Astyanax mexicanus: one gene and its partner. The protein of the gene in region 2 interacts with the protein of the main gene of each other region in a pairwise test. Links are inferred from orthologs where the notes say so. Each region holds a gene or a part of one and is shown on either strand. Other genes may lie near its edges.

What was found.
Region 1: the proteins of sh3gl3a (region 2) and rpl35a interact in a two-hybrid assay, tested with the Homo sapiens proteins (2 studies listed by BioGRID and IntAct). The link is inferred for Astyanax mexicanus from reciprocal best matches to the Homo sapiens genes SH3GL3 and RPL35A.

The regions. Positions count from the first base shown.
Region 1 is NC_064416.1:4,692,257-4,702,237, reverse strand, and holds the start of rpl35a (60S ribosomal protein L35a), read right to left. Parts: upstream 4,192-9,981; 5' UTR 4,111-4,191; intron 3,491-4,110; 5' UTR 3,460-3,490; coding exon 3,449-3,459; intron 2,052-3,448; coding exon 1,899-2,051; intron 1-1,898. Other genes in the region: cstf3 (cleavage stimulation factor subunit 3), read left to right, coding at 5,357-5,383.
Region 2 is NC_064423.1:11,393,236-11,403,612, reverse strand, and holds the start of sh3gl3a (endophilin-A3a), read right to left. Parts: upstream 4,839-10,377; 5' UTR 4,656-4,838; coding exon 4,611-4,655; intron 1-4,610. UniProt on the Homo sapiens protein: Implicated in endocytosis. May recruit other proteins to membranes with high curvature.

The DNA of each region.
Region 1 (9,981 bases), on a different chromosome or scaffold from region 2:
CGTAGAGAAGAAAACCAAGCACAATACAAAACTACTAACAAATTTTGTTGAATTACATGCTTTATTATTGTAATAGTACTCTCTATATATTACACAGATAATGTATAAAACCATGAAATAATTTACTCCCAAACTGTATCCAGGGGTAATTTGAAACTAGAGCGCAAGATTTATCAGCGCAATTAAGATTTATCAGAATAAAGAGCAAGGAAAAATATATTTTTTTAAATGTGTATTTGTCAGCAGGGTAAAGCAGTGGAATAGATTAGAATAAAGATTAAGAATGTGTAGTTCTTTCCACACATTATACAAAAAAAAGGTGTTTGGTATAGGGTAAAACAAGCTAAATCTTCAGACTGTACCTTTTTGATCTTTATAAATTTAATCAAGCACAATACGTAGTAAAAAAAACTAATGGCTTAACATTTGCCTAAAATTAGATTTATTTTGATCATTTATCTTAGCTCATAATATTTATATCTCTATTTTTACAGCAATAACTTGGATAAAATCTAATTTGCTATTTAGAACTAGCGGTGGGAATCACCGGGCATATCACAATATAATATACTGATGCACTGCCCACGATAATCTTACAATACTTTGATTCTGTGATGCTCGATATATCAAAACAATTCTCTACGATGCTTTACAGCATCTCTGTTACTGAAGAGGATAAAATACTCCTAAATAACTAAATACCAGGAATTATGTAGTGAAAAAACAAACACAGATTTTTACTAAGAGGTAATTCCAGTAAATTTTATACAATATGGGAACCATTCTTGAAATATTTCTTCCAACTAAAAAAAAACAGTCAAAGCTAAATAAGTATGTAGATACGGTGTGAAGATACATTGAGGCCTTTGACAAATGCTTTTAAATGATTTGCTGTGTTTGTGTTATTAGTCTATTCATTAAAATGAGATAAAATGAGAAATTCAATGCAAAGGGAGAAAATTGGGAAAATAAAGTTTTTATAATGCATGTTGATTGCACTGCTATAAAAATACACACACTTTTAATGCCACATATCAATAATGCACAGCAAATAAAGCATACAATATATCGCAATAACCATTTTGTCCTACTCCTATATAGAACTGGGCACTATGTTATCAGTCATACTTTTTTTTTGACATGCTTTACCGAGCATATCAACTGTATTTTTGTGTAATACATCCTTTAGAACTGGATTTGAAGCAAAAACTGAATAAAAAACACTGTGCATTCAAGCACTGAATAGTAATTTCTAATAATCTGTCATTGCTGATGCTGTATTATCACCATATACGTATTTTAATGAGCAGAATGAGAGAAAACTCTGCAGCAGTTAAGGCAGCTGTGTGTGGTTAAAGCCTGGAAGCGTAAATACTGTATATACAGGGACAGTGTGCTGCTAGTCCTTTCACAATTACGTTATTGACTTATAATATGGACGTGACCTCAATCATTTCTGCTCATCACCAGCAATACTGTCAGTCACGCAACGACCAACACATCAATAACAGAGCCCTTATATACAGTACCAAATTTAATGTTCGGCCCCAACTTAACTTAATGCGTTGTTACTTTATGATTTTTTTACATTGTAAATTTAATATTAGCCTCCTCCGCCGCCTCTTTTTGAACTGTTGCTGATGCAGCATTGCTAAGTAGCATCACAGCGCTAACACTCGGTTCTGATACATCAGCTCACAGACGCAGCCTTGTGCTGATCCACATCACCCTATAAGTAATGAGGGGAAAGAGCACCATCTACTGTACCCACCCAGAGAGAGCAAGGACAATTGTGCTCTCTCAGGGCTCCAGCAGCTGATGCTTTTATATTCAAAGAATTTAGTCTGCCAGGGTTGAGTGTTGAGATTAATGCATAGCGCTGAAGACAAGCTGCTTACTTCTTTGCCTTGTAGACATAGGCGCAGCGCTTGCCCAGGTAGAAGTCGACCTCCTGTCGAGTGTAGACTCCCTCAACCTTCAGCAGAGCAGTGTGCTCACGCTGGTTCCTCAGACCGCGCTTGTATCCAGCGAAGATAGCTTTGCACCACAACCTAAAAACAGAAAACAGCCACAGGCTGAGCATTCCCAAGCTTTACCAACAATTATTATAATCATTCATACATTTAAACATTATATATATATATATATAAATTTTCATTCATTTACTACAGAACTTCACACAATTTAAATTAAAAAAATTTGAAATTAACCCAAAATAAATTTTCGTTACACACTGAACAGTACAACACAGTACATCAGAAGAAGCAATATCTGGTGATTTACTGAGATAATAAACTTCAGTTACACTTCCCTTCTTTTCCAAATGATTTACAACAAATACTTAAATCAGTACATAGCCTTCACTTCAACATCTGTAATTTTATGAATGCAAATAAAAAACATATGTAATGTGGCTATTCAGAAAGCATTGACGCAAACTACCAAAAACAAAGCAACAGAACAAAACCTAAATTTAGAGCTCACAAAAACCTCCAGATGAAGTAAAATAAATTAATTACAAAATTTTTAACAGCAGCAAAAGGCCCAATAATCAAGTGTTAACAAGAGCCAATCACAACAATATACAACAATGTACACAGCAGATGAAAAACATTGCAAATTTATATAATTCAATATTTAACCAACGGAATTATAATGAAGCACTGCTGTCCAATAAAAAACATGCATCTTCACTTTTGGGTTTTATATAGTGTATAACCCTGCAGCTGATCATATATGGCCAAAATTTCAAACTGATCCTCCAACTGTAGAGTTTGTTACAGTGTGTAAACTACCCCGATTAACTAAGAATCTGACTTTTTAGGACTCCTGATGCTGTATTTTTTTCTCTGTGCATCACAAGATCATCATTTATGACAAGAATCCCAGTCAAAAGTTTCTACAGACAGCAAAATAAAATTTTACGTTCGAAACAAGTTTATTAACTTACAGTAGAAAGCCAACATTTAGCTTTTGGAATAATCGGTTCCTTCTGATCCCAAATGTCAAGGATACTTTCAAAAACTTAATTTAAGTAAACTTGAGCACATAGCTAATGTGTACCAAGACAAAGTTGAGTTTAGGTCCTACTAATTTCAAATTATAAACTCACACCAAGCATGAGTTTGGGACTTGAGGTTAATTACACCAAAGTGAGCGACAAAAATAAAGAAATCATGAAAAATGTTGGCCACATCATCAAACACTAAATGAAAGTTAAGAACACTTGCCTTCCATTCTATAAACAATATTTTGGAGAGACGTTTTTCTTTGGACATTGAGGATACCGTGTTACTTTTATCTTCGTACTTTTTATTTGACTTAAACTTCAAAAATACACTTACACTGTGCACAATTTCACCAAACTGCAGCTGCAACTAGGAACAGGTCTATACACACACACTACCTTCACCAAAACCTCCAACATGCAGTTTAAGAAGCTACTCACCTTCCAGGCATTGTGACTTATTTCTCGCCCAGGCTCTGAAACCTTTGAAGCAAGAATAAAGACATAAAATGAGAAGATTTAAAGGGAGAAAGCTTTAATAAAATGTCTCACAGCTTCTTAAAACAGCCAATAAACACACAGACCAACAGCTGACACAATTATACTTAAATTAGACTGTAGTTTGGTCATCAGAGCAGATTTAATTAGATCTAGGAGCTAAAATTAAAGATCTAGTTACTGTTTATTCAGTATGCATGTGAAGTTAAACTAGAATACAGAGTTCAGACACGTTATAACCAAGAATAACTCCACTTCTATAGCCATTAGCAGCAAAACAGCAGCATATAACCCCAGCATAATATATTCTACAGCGCTAAAACACAGAAACAGCAGAGTTACATCAGTAATTCAGCGTTTAAACCCGTTTAATATTAAACTGAATCACTGAAACTCTGTCAGTAACGGAGGAAACCCGCCCGCTCCCTCAGCAGCTCTGCCCAACAATCCGCTCCAAATCTGCACCATCCCGCCATGAAACACGATAAACCCAAGCGCTGGATAAAGATAAAGCGCTTATCTACGCGCTGAGATTAATATTAGAGCTTAATTCCCTCTAAAAACAGTAAGAAATTGATAAATTATGAACCCGTGCCGGGATTTACCTGCCTGATACGATAACAAAGATGGAGGAAAAGGACGGTCCAGCGGCGCGCCGGCAGCAAAATCACCCAGCGGCGCCCCAAACAACCGCCTGATCAAAAATAATAAACTCAATCCATGAAAATTAGTTTATTATAAAAAAAAAAAAAACAGTATTCTTTAATACTTTAATAATCTTTAAAAAAAAAACTATACTATCTATAAGATGTTTACTCTATTTTTTAGTGAAAATATAATATAAATAAATAAAAGAAAACATAAAAATTCATTTAAGTGAGAAATACATAGTTTAAATTAAAATGAGTTAATTATATGAATAAATTGATAAATAAATAATCGAGACATTATTTAATTAATTATTTAAACGTGAATATTAAGTGTATTTTATAGTTCTTTATTTGTCATTTTCAGGGATAGTAAGTCATTATTTTGAGATAATAAGATCTGAACATAATGAGATAATATCTATCTATCTAAAAATAATGAATAAGTTCCTTAACTTATTCAAGGACACAGACAGATTCGAGAACTGTTTTTTTATTACACTGCAAGTACATATTTATTTATTTTTATATTGTATATGTTGCACTGTGAGATGAGCTCCTCTAATTTCACTGTACTTGCTATAGTCATAATAAAATGCATTCTTTCATTTATTCATTAACTCGTTCATTTAAAATTATGACTTACTATGTCAAAATACTGAGACAGCAGTTACTTAATAATAATAAAACAAATGTGCTGGATTTATTTTATATTTTAGGTGGCAGGAATGGGAATTCTATTCATAGATATCTTATATATATATACGTATTTGATATCTATGCTTCCATACACTAGAGTCATGTAGAATTGTTAATATTTAACCTCTTTTAATCGATTTAAAAATCATGTCTTCACCCATTGTTTTAGTGGGAATGACTTGTAGATCTGCGAAATTAAAAGTCCTGCGGTTTAACCAGAATATAATATTTTTTTTAATAAAGATTTTTTTCTGTGAGCTTAGATATCTTGCTGAGACCATATAAAAATGACTATTTTTGAGTTACAAACTAAATTTGAGATAAATTAAAATTTAATAAGGTATACAAAAACTGGCAAACAAAACCCCGCCTCTTCCCTCTGTTTCTCTGTATGTGTCTGCGCATGCGTCCGGTGAGAGCGGGGGTGAGGGAGCTCGCCATTTTAGGAGCCTGTGAGGATCTGCAGGCTGGAAATCTTACAAATAATAAACGCTGCAGGTTAATAATGTCCGCAGAAAGCGCCCCGGACCAGGTAAATATTCTGTAAATCTGTTATAAAGCTGCAGAACGGCTTAAATTGCGGGTTAAAGAAGCTGTGCCGTTGCTGGGGCGACCGTTAGTTAGCTTAGCTTAGCATACGAGCTATGGCTAGTTTAGCTAGGCTAGCTGCTGGAATTGACTTGCTTGTTTTTGTCTCTGTTTGAGGTCATTTTTAACATTTTTTAGGCATTAAATCCCGTGTAGGACTTATAAAAAATTCATTTAACTGCATAATGTACGTGTTCTTTGATTGGTCTAGGTAGATATTCAGTTAAATAGTTTGTTTGTTAGCTAGCTGAGTTTGTAGCGAAAGACACGCTGTTTTTGGACTGCTGTGATGCGATTAGGCGATGTTTTGACCATTTAGCTTCTGTTTATTCTGTGGTTTATTTTCTAACTTCAAATGCTATGTACTTAGTACTTATATATGGTTTTGCACTGCCTGGCCAAAGAGTCTTAATGGCGTTCAGGTGGCGGCCAATCAGTATTTTCAGCTACAATTTCCTTAGATGTTTTTTCTGCATTATTGGTGCCAATAAATTGACCCTTCTGAAACATATTAACTTTATTATCTTTTCCACGTGGTTGTTTTAACAAATGAGAAGCTACTCCCTGCATCAGTTAGGATTAAATCCAGTAACTTGTTGCCGTAATTATAGTAATTATAATCCAGTTATTATAATGCAGTAATAATAATCCAATGAGAGTCTTTTACCTATTTGCTCAGTTAAGTCAAGTTTTTTTTTTTGCCAGGCAGTGTGTATATATTTCTGTATTGATAAATGTGCTGTATTTTCTGCTTGACATTGTCTCAAAAACTATTGCAATAAACAGTATTACTGTCATTTTAAGGTCATTTTAATGCCACTGACAGCATGTTAAAGATAGCAAAACAAAATTTGCAATTAATCATAGTATTATACTTATTTTTATTTTATTAAATTACTTCAGTTTATACTGTGTATGGAGTCAAAGTTATTGAAGCATTGGTCTGGTATTGCATGACTGGCTAAAATATTGTTCACTGTTCTATACAATAGAAAACGTACAAATAAACGCAATAGATGATATCACAATTATCAAATATCAGGTTGTGTCCATTATTTTACGATAAGTCGATAATGTAATTATCGTTAGAGGCCTAGCTATATTTAAATACATTTTCCATATTTTTCTGACTTTAAGGCACACTTAAAATTCTTTGATCCGGTGCAGGCCACAAACACATGTTAAGTTAAATGCCTTAAATCAGTGTTACTGAAAAGTGGTCCTGAAGGCTCATAGGCTGCCCTGCACATTTTATTGCTTTCCCTGCTTTAACACACCTTCTTTAGCTAACTTAATTGCATCATTTGTGTTTGAATAAGGTAAAGCTTAGCTCCTTGTCACCTTTAGGACCAAGGTTAAAAAAAATCTGCAGCAAGATGCATTTTATTGCAAATTGTGCCTAAACTCAGTCAGTTTTTAGCTTTTGGGTTGATTTGTAGATTTGCTTTGGCCTCTTATTCAGTTTATAGTGCACTTCTTATCTAGCTAGCTATCTCCTCTTCTGTGTATTGTGCTGTTTGTTTGTTTTTTTTTTTTTTTACAGTGGAACTTAATGATGCTAATGTGTTTTGATCTAGTGTATCAGCTATTATAAGACATTTCTAGATTAATGTGTGTTTTGTTTGTTTGTTTTAATTGGACTTTGATCTGCCTTTAACCCCATTTTAGAGATAAATGTTATCACAGTTATTGCTATATCTTTATATTGTCTATCAAAGAATCTTTGAAAATCTAATTGCATTACCTACCTAAACAATTTAAATGAAGGTATGACTGGGCAATATACAGCTCTGGAAACAGTTAAGCGACCACTTCAGTTTCTGTATCAGTTCCTCTGATTTTGCTATTTATAAAGTAAAATGATAAAAAATGATCATATAGCATTCTTGTTTTATTCTATAAACTACTGACTTTTCTCCCAAACTCCAAATAAAAATATTTTAATTTGGAGCATTTATTTGGAGAAAATTGGTTCAGTTTGGTGGTTTGATGGCCTGTGATCATTCATCTTCCTCTTGATTATATTCCAGAGGTTTTCAATTTGGTAAAATCAAAGAAACTCGTCATTTTTAAGTGCTCTATTATTTTTTTCCAGAGCTAAATATATCTTAAAGATCAGTGTGCTTGAAACTGTCTGGTACAAGATTCATACAAAATGATATTGTTTTCGATGTGTGCAATATAATATTGTGTTAAAATGGTTTGGTTTCTGAAGTGGTGACACTCAATACAGTACAATATTGTGCTAATTGTGTCATAGAAACATCAAAACTAAAGGAGCAGCATTGTTTAATATTAATACATTTTTAAATATCCAGTCTTACAAGTACTTTTAACACTTTGTAACCTTATACTTTAAGTTTTTCACCATATTGTGTATATCACCATTTCTCTTAACAATGTTAAGATAAGAGCTATTTAGTTTTAAGGCCCAGTTTCAGAGGCAAGCTACATGAATATTGAGATTTCCAACAGTGTTTATTGCATCTTTTTTTGTCAGTATCATCCATCACCGAGCTTGTTTGATAACTTATTTAGTCCTGCATTGCTTTGTTCAAGTCCTTGTCTCACTTTGACCTTTGGAAAATGATCCATTATAGAGTGGTGTGACCTTCTATAAAAGGCCTTGATTGACTGAAGGTCAAAAGGAGTAATAAGTATGGTTGTTTATGGCATTTTTAGATTGATTGTAGGCCTTTTATGAGATTTTTGATCTGTTTTCATACAGTATGATGTCTAACAAGACAAACTAGAGTTGGAAACACATGTTATATATGTATATACATACATATTGGACCTATGTCTAAGCTTTGTGCTTGTAGTAAGGTTGAGCGATATGAAAATTAAAAATGATATCACAATATTTTATGGTATTTTTACGATAACGATACTCTTAGCGATATGCTTAAACACTGAATTAAAAATATATATATTTCGAGAATACAGTAATGCAACAAAATAAAAATTACATTATATTATTGCATAAGAGATGAAATGGCTCACCCCTAACTGAGATATTAAAAAATACAAGAATTTTATCAGATTTGTTGGCAGAAGTCAATGTTCCAGAATGTCATAATGCTAATAATAATGCACTCCATATATTTCCATAAATCCAGGATTAAAGTAAAATAAATGATACTGGACAGATATAATCTGTCTCTAGTAGATATACAGGTGCTGGTCAACGAATTAGAATAATTTGAAATCAGGTGTTCACCGCACCTGTCCTACTCGTTAGACTAATCACAGAACTCGTTACCTGGAAAAAATTTTGCTCAGCTGAGCTTTCCAAAAGGCCCGTTTAGGCCATTTAACTGTGACACTGTTGTTTTATTGAATTAGAATAATGGAGAAACCGTTTCATTGAATTAGAATAATTTTTATTATAATTACAATCATCACTTTCTCAGTATTTTGTGGCTGCCCCCTTGGCTTGTATGACTGCCTGAAGTCTCCGCGGCATCGATTTGACCAGCTTGTCGCAAGTTTCCGCACTCACAGCTTCCCAGGCAGTGGCGATGTTCTGCTTCAGTTGGTCCAGCGTAGTAGGCTTTCTGTCGCGAATTTTCCGCTTGACGATGGCCCAAAGGTTTTCAATGACATTGAGGTCAGGCGAGTTGGCCGGCCATGCCAAAACTTCAAGCTGTTTTTTAGTGAACCAATCTTTGGTCGACTTTGCCGCATGAGCCGGTGCAAGATCCTGTTGAAATATTAAGTCTTCTTCGCCGAACTGTTCCTCAACAGTCGGAATCAGGAACGTTTCCAGAACATCTTGATATACGGCAGCATTGACAGTCTTCTTGAGGAAGCAGAGTTTCCCTACACCTCGAGCGGACATGCATCCCCAGACCATAACGCTCTGGGGAAACTTGACGGATCTTTTCACGCACTCGTGGTTGTAGGTTTCGCCACCACGACGCCAGACACGAGGACCTTGGTCACCGAAGGAGATGCAGAAGCGTGATTCGTCACTGAAGACCACTTTCTGCCAGTCTTCAGCAGTCCATGTTCAGCATCGGTTTTACTGCTGGAACGCGAGATTTGAAGCCGAGTTCGCGCAGACCACGGTAAGTGGTTGATCTGGAGACGTCAGCGCCGGTCTGCTTGTTCCACAAGTCGGTGAGCTCGGAAGTGGACTTGAACCGGTTGCTGACTGCGATCTTTCTCAGCTGCTTGTTGTCGCGAGCAGAAGTTTTTCGGACGCCGGAACAGTTGGTGCGCTTGCTGCAGTTTTTCTTGAGAGCTTTGCAGACGGAAGACTGGCTGATGCCGAGCTGCTCAGCAATTTTAGTTTGGGTCAAGCCTTGTTGGCGAAGGGCTTGAATTTGAGCCACTATTCCGGTTGAGAGGTCGCGCTGCTTACCCATGATTGATTTTTACAACTTAGAAATTCTACTCAACCCTGACTTTATACTGCACAGTGAACACTCTTCACAGAAAACAAAAATTCGAGCATTTATTCTAATTCAATGAAACTGTTTCTCCATTATTCTAATTCAATAAAACAACAGTGTCACAGTTAAATGGCCTAAACGGGCC
Region 2 (10,377 bases):
AGATAACGTTTATACAGATATTCTATAGATAACTGTAGAATGAGAGAAGCACTCATCATGCAGGAAAGGCAAATTAGAGTACCATAATTAGACGGAATGTTTTGCATCATCATACAACTAAGATACCAACATTTTGTTCGAGTTCAATTTGTTCAAGGCATTTAACAATATGTCAAACATGGTACGGGTAGTATTTCAGCATGAGAGCAGGGTTGCAAAGTGTAGTAAAAAAAAAAAAAACAAGAGACCACTTCAAATGGAAAAGGTTTCTTTGATTATACTAAATTAAAAACCTCTGGAATATAATGGAAAATAGGAAGATGGATGATCACAAGCCATCTAACCAAGCTGAACTGCCTGATTTTTGTACCAGGAGTGCAGGCATAAAGTCATCCAAAAGTAGTGTGTAAGACTGGTGGAGGGGAACATGCCAAGATGCAAGAAAACAGTAATTAAAATCCAGTATTATTCCATCAAATATTGATTTCTAAACTCTTAAAACTTTATGAATATGAACTTGTTTATTTTACTCAAACATATACCTATAAATAGAAAAATCAGAGAAACTGATTCAGACACTATAGTGGTCCAGAGCTGTATGTGCACAATCCTACAAGTGTGAATGCATATAGATGGCTAGCTAGTGTGGGAATGCTTTGAGAATGCCAAATACACTAAACTACAAAAAAACAACCAAACACAGCTTCAACTGCAAAATTCAGGGCACAACAGTATCATAGTATCTTTGTAGGAGCAATTGTAGTAATTCCCAAAAAAATAGGAGGAACAAAGAATAGCATATTCAAGGATGGAGTTAATCCACCAACTATTAAACTTAACGACAGATGTACAGTTGCTTTGAATTAGGGATTTAAGGAACGCTAAAAAGATCTAGTAATCTAAAAGGATCTTTGTTGGAAAAAAAGATTTGCTGCACAATTTAAGTTACAAATTGCACTTATGGTTAAAGCTCCATTTTATTGTTTAGTTCCATATATTGTCTTTGGATTTCTAACTGGTGACATTTGTTGTCAAGGTATAAATCACTAATTCAGTCTGTTTGAAAAAAATGCGGAGTTCAGTATGTTACCTCTGTTGTCCAGTAGAGAAAAATAAACCCACTCTTCCAAAAGAACAGTAAAGACGTCCAGTGTAGAAAATAGAACCATATGTGGTACTTTATAATTAAGTCGGGATAATGGTAATACTGTTTTATAGTGGTCATTCTGCAGCCCATAATCACTGTCCACACTTAATCCCCATATGCCAACCCTAAACCTACTGTTGTCAGTGTAGCACTGGAGATTATGTTGTGTTTAACCAAACTGGGCAGGGAAAGGCCCCTGTTTATTTTTCAGAGATGCACTTAACATTTTCATAAAATTTTTGCACTATAAGGTGCACTTAAAATTCTTTGGTTTTCCCAAAACTTGACAGTGTGTTGTATAATCCAGTGTGCCTTATGTATGAATTCTACCAGTCAGGTATTAAAGAACAGTAAAGCCACTCCTCTGAAGAACAGCGTTATAAGCGTGGGTTCGTTTTCAGTGAAGTTTCTCCAGCACTAAGGCTGGGTGCAGCAGCATTAGCAATAGCGCTAACCGCAGCCTTAGCTCTTTCGCTGTCCAGAGCTGAGTATATCAGACTGTAGTCTGCGTGTTTACCGTAATAAAACAAGCTGTGTGGGACGATGCCCTACCTGATACCTGTCTTACCTGGCTAGGGAAACAAACCCTAGTCTGACACACTGATGCCATGTTTTGCCACACTGTCCTACACCAACAGCCCCTACCATCACCTCCACAGGAGAAGACAGATCCTGCCAAATGACATCCACCACACCTGCTCCTGCTCGGCTCTTAGGCCACCTGCAAGCCATCATTTCCTTCCTACAACAAGATGACCAGATGGATCCAGATGGATCCTAGACCCTGCATGCTTGTTAAACCTTTCTGTTTACTCTGAGCCACCGGTTCTTTAAAAACACATATTTATAGAATGTATTGTGGTGTTAGTTACCAACACTACAATGACCCCACAGGTTTTTTTATTTATTTATTTTTTATGAGTTTTGACAGCCAAAGATGTCATGAGGAGCACCTAGTTTGGCTAGGCACCCTCTGTTCTCATTTCTACAGGCCTGTAAGTAGGTAGTATAACGATAATTAATTTAATTTGTACAGAGAAACCAGTTAACTCCACATATATCCTAAAAACTGCTCTCCTGTTTATGTCCAAAGCCAGAAAAGATGAACATCCAACAACATGAACAAAGGTGGTACCATTATACTAATTTCATCTTCTCATTGTGTTGCTTGGAGCTAGGTAACTGCTAAATCACCAAAAAAGTAAGAGCAGAACCACAAAGAGCATATAAACAAGGTGTTTATATTTTGCAATTTTGCTTGAGTAATATTCTGATTTTCATCCTCATTCTAGTGTAATCATTTATATATATTTGAGTGTTTTTCAGCCTTTTTTCTTCCACTTTTATTTTTGCACATTTTCAATATTAAAAAAACTTTGTGGGTGGAAAACATGCTGTTTGTGTCAGGTCTGCTGTTGTTAGAGCCCTGAATCTACGTATCTATCATGTATTGTGATCTGTCTTTACATGTTATCAACTAGTTAATTACACATTAATCCATGTTGAATGCAGCTTGAAGATATTATAACAGACTTTCAGTCTGTTTAAAGCCCTATCTGGATGGGATTAGTTTCAAATAGGGATGTCTGTGATTTTTTTTTCCCACACTTCTACTCAAGTGATAAAACTGTTGCATCCGAACTAATATTGAAAAAATAAGAGGACCAGTGAGTTTTTTGGCTTTCTCGGTCACATCACATCGTGATCAGTAGCTCCTCCATTTCCAGTTGCTGTTGTGTTTGTGTGGATTTCTGTAGAAATGTGCGTGGCAGTGGACAAAAAGCTATTTTGTTAAACGTGAGGAGACAAAACTCAAAACTTAGTCTGTCTGGATGGGGTTTGGTGAAAAACAGTAGGCAATGCATCCTGTAATATTCTATAAGGACATCTGAGAAAAACACATACATGGTCGTTTCGGACGGGAATAAAATCACAGAGGACCCCCTATAAAATTACCCCAAGACCCCCTGAAAAACTAATCCCGTCCAAGTAGGACTTAAGAATATTAAAATAGTCCAGTATGATAGCTCTGCTTTTCAGTAGAAAGAAAAATGGACAAGCTTCTCCATAAGAAAAGTGAAAGCCATATGTTGTGCTTAATATATAACAGGACCTGATCAGAAGCATCATAAAAAGAAGCATCATGTTTATTGTGATAATTCTACAGCACATTGTCCACTTTAACCGTTGTATATCTCATAGTATTTTATATATTTTTTGAGAATCTGAAAGCTGTAAAGAAATAATGAGGTTAGGTATGCTTCCTCTGTTCTCATCAGGCCTGTGTGTGTGTAGGTGGTATGATGCTAGTCATGATGATGGACTTGATGGTGTTCAGCTTCATTAATGCACCGAAAACAACATCCAACAAGGTATGAAGAAAGCTAACACTATAATGCTGAAGATGTAAACAGTCCCATCTTCTCACTGTGAAGCTTGGAGCTAGCTAACACAGCTAATAATCAACAAAAGAGTGAGAGCAGAGCTACAAAGAGTACATGAACAAGATGTTCCTGCTACTTTTCGCAATTTGGTGTGAGTGAAATTCTGAAAAAAAAAATACATTTTAAAGATATTTACGTGTTTTCTGTTGTTATTTTCAAAATTCACAAAAACCTTGAGGATGGAAAACCACCTGTTTAGAAAATACAGCCATATCTTTTACTCCATAACTGAATTTAGATCATGAATATAGTATTAATAGTGGCAATTCTGCAGCACAAAATAACTGTTTTATCAGTGTTTTAATCATTTTAGAGAATCTGAAAGCTGTAAAGAAGTGGTGAGGAGCAGCTAGGTTAGCTATGCTCCCTCTGTTCTCATCTCTTCAGGCCTGTGTGTGTAGGTGGCTTGATTGTGGTCATGATGATGGATTTAATGGTGTTCAGCTTCAGTTATGCACTGACAATCAGCTTATTCTATACTCATCCCCCCAAAACTGCTCTCCTGTTGAAGCTCAGGGCTAGACAAGGTGAACAACATCCAACATAACATGAACAAAGCTAACACTAGCCATAATGCTGAAGATGTAACGTTAAATAGTCCTATCTTCTCATTGTGTAGCTTGGAGCTAGCTAACACAGCTAATAATCAACAAAAGAGTGAGAGCAGAGCCAAGAAAAAACACATGAACGTGGCGTTAGAAGAGAAATAAGAGTAGAAACAGAGGAACTCTTCGTTTTGTGAACGTATTTTATTTTTATTATGTAATAAAAAAAACATTGTAAAGTAGGTTTTAGAAGAAAACAACAACTGCATGGCGCATCTCTGCTGCTGCTTCAGCCTGAAGAAAACAACTGGAGCAGCACACCATTGAGCTACTCTACCATCTACACACAGCAGCTGAGGCGGAGTGTTTTACTGAATGGGGGGTAAAATAAACTGCTAAATGTTTGAAAACAAAAGCTAAAGATCATGAAGTTGTTCTGAAAACAACAGAACGGAACTAGGGGCGTCTCCTTACCTGACTGGCTTTATGAAACTGCTTCTTCAAGCCCGCTACAGACATCCTGAAAAGCAGAACTGAGCAGCGGAGAGTCCGAAAAAAGTTTCAACAGCTCAGAAATGTAAAATAATCCTTCGCAGGTTGCCCAGGAATCACAGCAGCCGGGCTCCTCTCTGAATGAGTGCTGAACGCTCCGCCGCTGCTGTTGCTGCTGGCTGCATGTCTCGGTGGCTCTATACTGTTATTTCTTCACTAATCCACCCGTTTTCCTCTATCCTCGCCCCCTGCGTTGCGATTGGCCAGGAACGTCCCGCCTCTCGCCTCTGAATGGTGAGCGGTTCAAATTTACAAGTCGGCCGCCTATTGGACAGTGAGAGAGGTCTCGCGCGTTGCCGTGGCAACCACAGCCTGAAAGCTAACGTTGTAGCATCAGTGTTACCTGAACCTCAAATCAGGATGAATTTTAAGTCAGGTCAAGTAGTTTTATTATCAATACTGCATATGTACCGGACATACAGAGAACTGAAATTACGTTACTCTCCTTCCTTGCTATTACAACAAGTACAGCAAGATAAAATATATAAATAAAATAATGAGAGACACTTAATGTACAGTATAACAAGGTCACAGAAGGTCACAGATACAAACATACGTGAGACAAGACAAGAGACACAAGACAATAGAGCAATAGTGATGGGGGTGATTAAAGAGGGAATGACAGTACCAGTATGAACAGGACTCATATAAACATTAGTGCAAACATAGAGGTATAAAAGCTTAAGGCTGAATAATATATTCCTTATATAGATAGATAGATTTCATTTGTTTTCCAATTTTATGATTGTCAAAACAAAATTAACAATAATAATAAAAAAAATATATATAAATAATAATATTTAAATAATAAATAAATAAATAAATAAATAAAACATTTTCTGCATTGTAGAGTAATACAGTCAATAAAGTCATCCAAAGTACAAAATAAAAATCTAATATTTATTAATCAAAAATGTGTTAAACAAACCAGAATATGTTTTATATTTTAGATTCTTCCAAATGGCACCTCTTGTTTAGATGGCAGCTTGGAATAGCTTTCAGTTAACAGCTGTGCTGAGCTTGTCAAACAGTAATTACTCTAATGTTTTGTCATCTTAATGTGTTTGAGAGCATCAGTTGTAAAGTTGTGAAGAGGTACAGGATTCAAGGAGATTTTATTATTTTTTTTTTTTTTTTATACAGGTTGTATAACGTGAAAAGCCCTAATTGAGTAATATTCTAATCTGTATTCCTGTTGCACAGGAAAAGTTATTCAGAGAAAAAAATGAATCACGACTGTTTATTATGTATAAACAGACATTGTGTAAGTAAAAATTAGAAATGTTAAAAATATCAGATATTGGATCTTTAAAAACGCAGTTCTAGAAGTTTCTGGGTAATCGTAGTTTATTTGCCCTGGAACATTTATTACCTCTACAGTACATTTATTAGAGGATGGTTTAAACTTCAACTCCCTCTTCTATCCAATCACAGCGTGGGAGGCGTGGCTTACCGGAAACGGGTGGGAAGCGAGCACTACTGCTGTTGCTGAAAAAAATCGCGTGGATGAGTGGAAACCTGTAGACGTCAACCGAGGAACCCCTTTATAAAACAAGCCTTTAGACTAAACCCTGGCTGTACTGAGACTAAAGGACATAATGTTCTCATAATGTTTCCAGAAGGACAGTAGAGATGAGCTGGATGTGTGATGAAGAGCAGAGTCAGTGTGATGAAGATGCCGGTGTGGGAACAGAGGGTTTCTGTAAAGTTTGGGGTTGTAATTTGGGTCTTTGCTGCCCCCCAGTGTCCCAAACGTGACTTTACAGAGGATTATGATGAGTATCTTCCAGCAAACAGCGTTTACATTGTCTGCAAAAGGTTATCACAACGTTGTCAAAGCTTCATTATTTAGTCTCATTGTCTGCTGGCAGTAAGGTCATATTTTGACAAAATACCACTCGTCTAGAAAATTATGTTTTTATTAATAAAACTCAAAGTATATTTTAGAATGTAATTAACAACAATTAAATAAATGATAATAATAATGATAATAATAATAATTTTGTAATTGTAACAAGTTATGTAATTATAACATGGAATTAAACAGCTATAACAAGTTGTGGAATTTTGACATGGAATTATTCAATTGTAACAAGTAAAGTAATTATAATATGAAATTACACGATTGTATCAAGTCAGGAATTATAATATGGAATTATGCAACTGTAAAAAGTCAAGTAGTTATATATGGAATTTTGCAATTGTTTCAAATTATATACTTATAATATGGAATTAAGCAGCTATAACAAGTTGTGGAAATTTGATGTGGAATTATGCATTTGTAACAAGTCACAAATTAAAATATGGAATTACGCAACAGTAAAACAAAATACTATATAATATGGAATTAAGCAATTGTAATAAATTGTGCCATTTTCACGGGGAATTACACCTTCGTAAGAGGTCAAGTTGTTATAATATGGAATTATGCAATTGTAACAACTTATGTTATTATAATATGGGATTACACAATTTGTCACGTCTGGTGCTGTAGAAGCTTCTGTTTCTTCCACACCGAGCTTTAACGAAGGTTTGCAGTCCAACAACTACACTACCCAGAACGCACCACCCGCTGACATCACACACACACACTCACGTGACACCTCACGGCTTCCTCCAGGAAGTCCGGAGTACTGATTTAAGGACATTGCGCACACACCTGTTCCGCGTATTGCCTGGTTTCGCCCACTTTACAAAGCGTTATTATTCTGTGATTGTTTTCCGTGTATGCATTTGAATTTGTACAGTGGCCTCATGAAGACAAAAACACAACCAAATACGTCTGATAATAGTGCTCTGTATTTATCTTGTCAGTGTTTATTTGATGCTCTGCAAGAGATAAGCATATAAATAGCTGTGTGTGTTGTTTTGGTGGAAGGAATAAGTTTTGCTAGAGATTTGTGGAGTTTCAACAAAGTAGTTAATCATTTTCAGTTTGTGTTTTGAGAAACTGAGCCAAGTTTCTAGAAATGTGTTTAAACATTTGGGAAAAACTATACATGTAGTACTAAAAATGCTACATGGGGGGTCTTACACCACACCAAATAAATGTAAAGAACAAAAAGCCAACATGTTTCCATGGATATATGCATTTGAATTTGTACAGTGGCCTCATGAAGCCAAAAACACAACCAAATACGTCTGATAATATTTATTTTGTCAGTGTTTATTTGATGCTCTGCAAGAGATAAGCAGTGCCAGCTTACAGACCACTGGTTAAAGTCTCCAAACCAGTTCTGAAGCAGGTACGAGTGTGGCCAGAGGGTTCCTCAGAGGCACTTCAGGACTGTTTCAGCACAACAGACTGGAACATGTTTAGAGAGGCTGCCACCCACAACAACTCCACGGACATTCAGGAGTACACAGAAACTGTCTCTGCCTACATCACCAAGTGCATTGATGATGTAACCGACCTCAAGACCATCACTGTTCGGGCTAATCAGAAGCCATGGCTGACAGGAGAGGTCCACAAGCTGGAGACCAGGCAGGCCTGAGGACAGCCAGGGCCAACCTGTCCCGCGGCATCAGGAAAGCTAAGAGGCAGTACTCCAAGAAGATATCCCAACGCTTCAGCGACAGCAGAGACACACGGAACCTGTGGCAAGGGATTCAGTCTATCACAGGCTACAAACCCCATCCACAGACCTGCAACAGCGACACATCTCTGCTGAACGACCTGAATGGATTCTTCGCAAGGTTCGAGCCACTCAACAACACACCCGCCCAGAAATCCATCCCTCCTCCTGGTGACCAGGTGCTAACGCTCTCCCAAGACAGTGTGAGGAGAGCATTCAGCAGGATCAATGCTCGAAAATCTCCTGGACCTGACAACATTCCTGGTCGTGTGCTGAAGGACTGTGCCTGGGAACTCGCAGAGGTTTATACGGACATCTACAACACCTCTCTGATTCAGGCTGTGGTTCCCACATGCTTCAAAGCCACCACCATCATCCCTGTCCCTAAGAAGGCATCGCCATCCTGTCTCAACGACTATCGTCCGGTTGCACTCACCCCCATCCTCATGAAGTGCTTCGAACGACTAGTCATGCACCATATCAAGTCTTCACTCCCCTCCTCCCTGGACCCCTACCAGTTTGCATATCGGTCAAATCGCTCGACCGATGATGCCATCTCCACTGTTCTCCACTCAGCCCTCACACACCTGGACAAGAAAGACACCTACGTCAGAATGCTGTTTGTTGACTTCAGTTTAGCATTCAACACAATCATCCCCCAACAGCTCATACACAAACTGGACAGTCTGGGGCTGAGCACTTCCCTGTGCAACTGGCTGTTGGACTTCCTGACTGGTAGACCACAGGCAGTGCGGGTTGGCAGCAACACATCCAGCATCACCACACTGAACACAGGGGCTCCCCAAGGATGTGTACTGAGCCCACTCCTGTTCACTCTGCTGACCCACGACTGCACACCAGAACACACCTCCAACCTCTTCGTCAAGTTTGCGGATGACACGACGGTGGTGGGTCTCATCAGCAACAACGATGAGTCACACTACAGGAGCGAGGTGAGCCGCCTGGCCTCCTGGTGCAAACACAACAATCTCTCTCTGAATACAGAGAAGACTAAGGAGATTGTTGTGGACTTCAGGAGAACTCACACACTGCACACTCCTCTGTCCATCAACGGAACTGCTGTGGAGAGGGTGAGCAGCACCAAGTTCCTGGGTGTGCACGTCACAGAGGACCTCTCCTGGAGCACCAACTCAGCATCACTGGCCAGGAAGGCAAACCAGCGTCTCTACTTTCTCCGCAAGCTGAGAAGAGCTGGAGCCCCCACCCCCATCATGACCACTTTCTACAGAGGGGCCATCGAGAGCATCCTGACCAGCTGTTTCACCGTGTGGTACGGGGCCTGCACAGCATCCTGCCGCAGGACCCTCCAGCGCATCGTGAGAGCAGCTGAGAAGATCGTTGGCACCTCTCTCCCCTTCCTTCAGGACCTGTACAGCTCCCGCCTCACGCGGAAAGCCCTCTGTCTGGCAGGAGATCCCTCCCACCCACTACACAGCTTCTTCAGCCTGCTGCCATCAGGGAGAAGACTGCGGAGTCTCGGGTCTAGGACCAGCAGACTGCGAGACAGCCCCATCCATCAGGCTGTGAGGATGCTGAACTCTCTTCCTGCTCTACCCCCCATCCCAATCCTGCCCACAGCACACACACTCTCATCATCCTGACCCCACATCCTCCCACCAACACAGTACTGAACTCTGCACTAGAACACACACAGTACTGTAACTTTTGTAAAAGGACCTGCACTACACACCCAATACCTGCACTACTGTTACGCTGCACTGTCATACACACTTTAATTCCCCAAGAACTGGGAACTTTAAGAACTTTACCAGCCTTAAGCTAGATACAACATTGCACTACTGTTATACGGGTTCTATTTATATTGTCACTTGATCTTAATCACCATTAATATTGCACTATTATCTTCTGTCTCACAAATGTCTATTGTGTTTTTGTTGTATTGTACATATAGTGTCTCCCACTCATTTAGATTTAGATTATATATTTATTTCTTTTTATTTCTATTTATATATCTATTTCACCCCCACCACTACTGCACCTTGTTCTGTCTCATGTATGTCTGTGTCCCTGCTGCTGTATTGTACACATAGTGTCTCCCCTTTTTCTTTATTTTTCTTTATTATCCATTATCT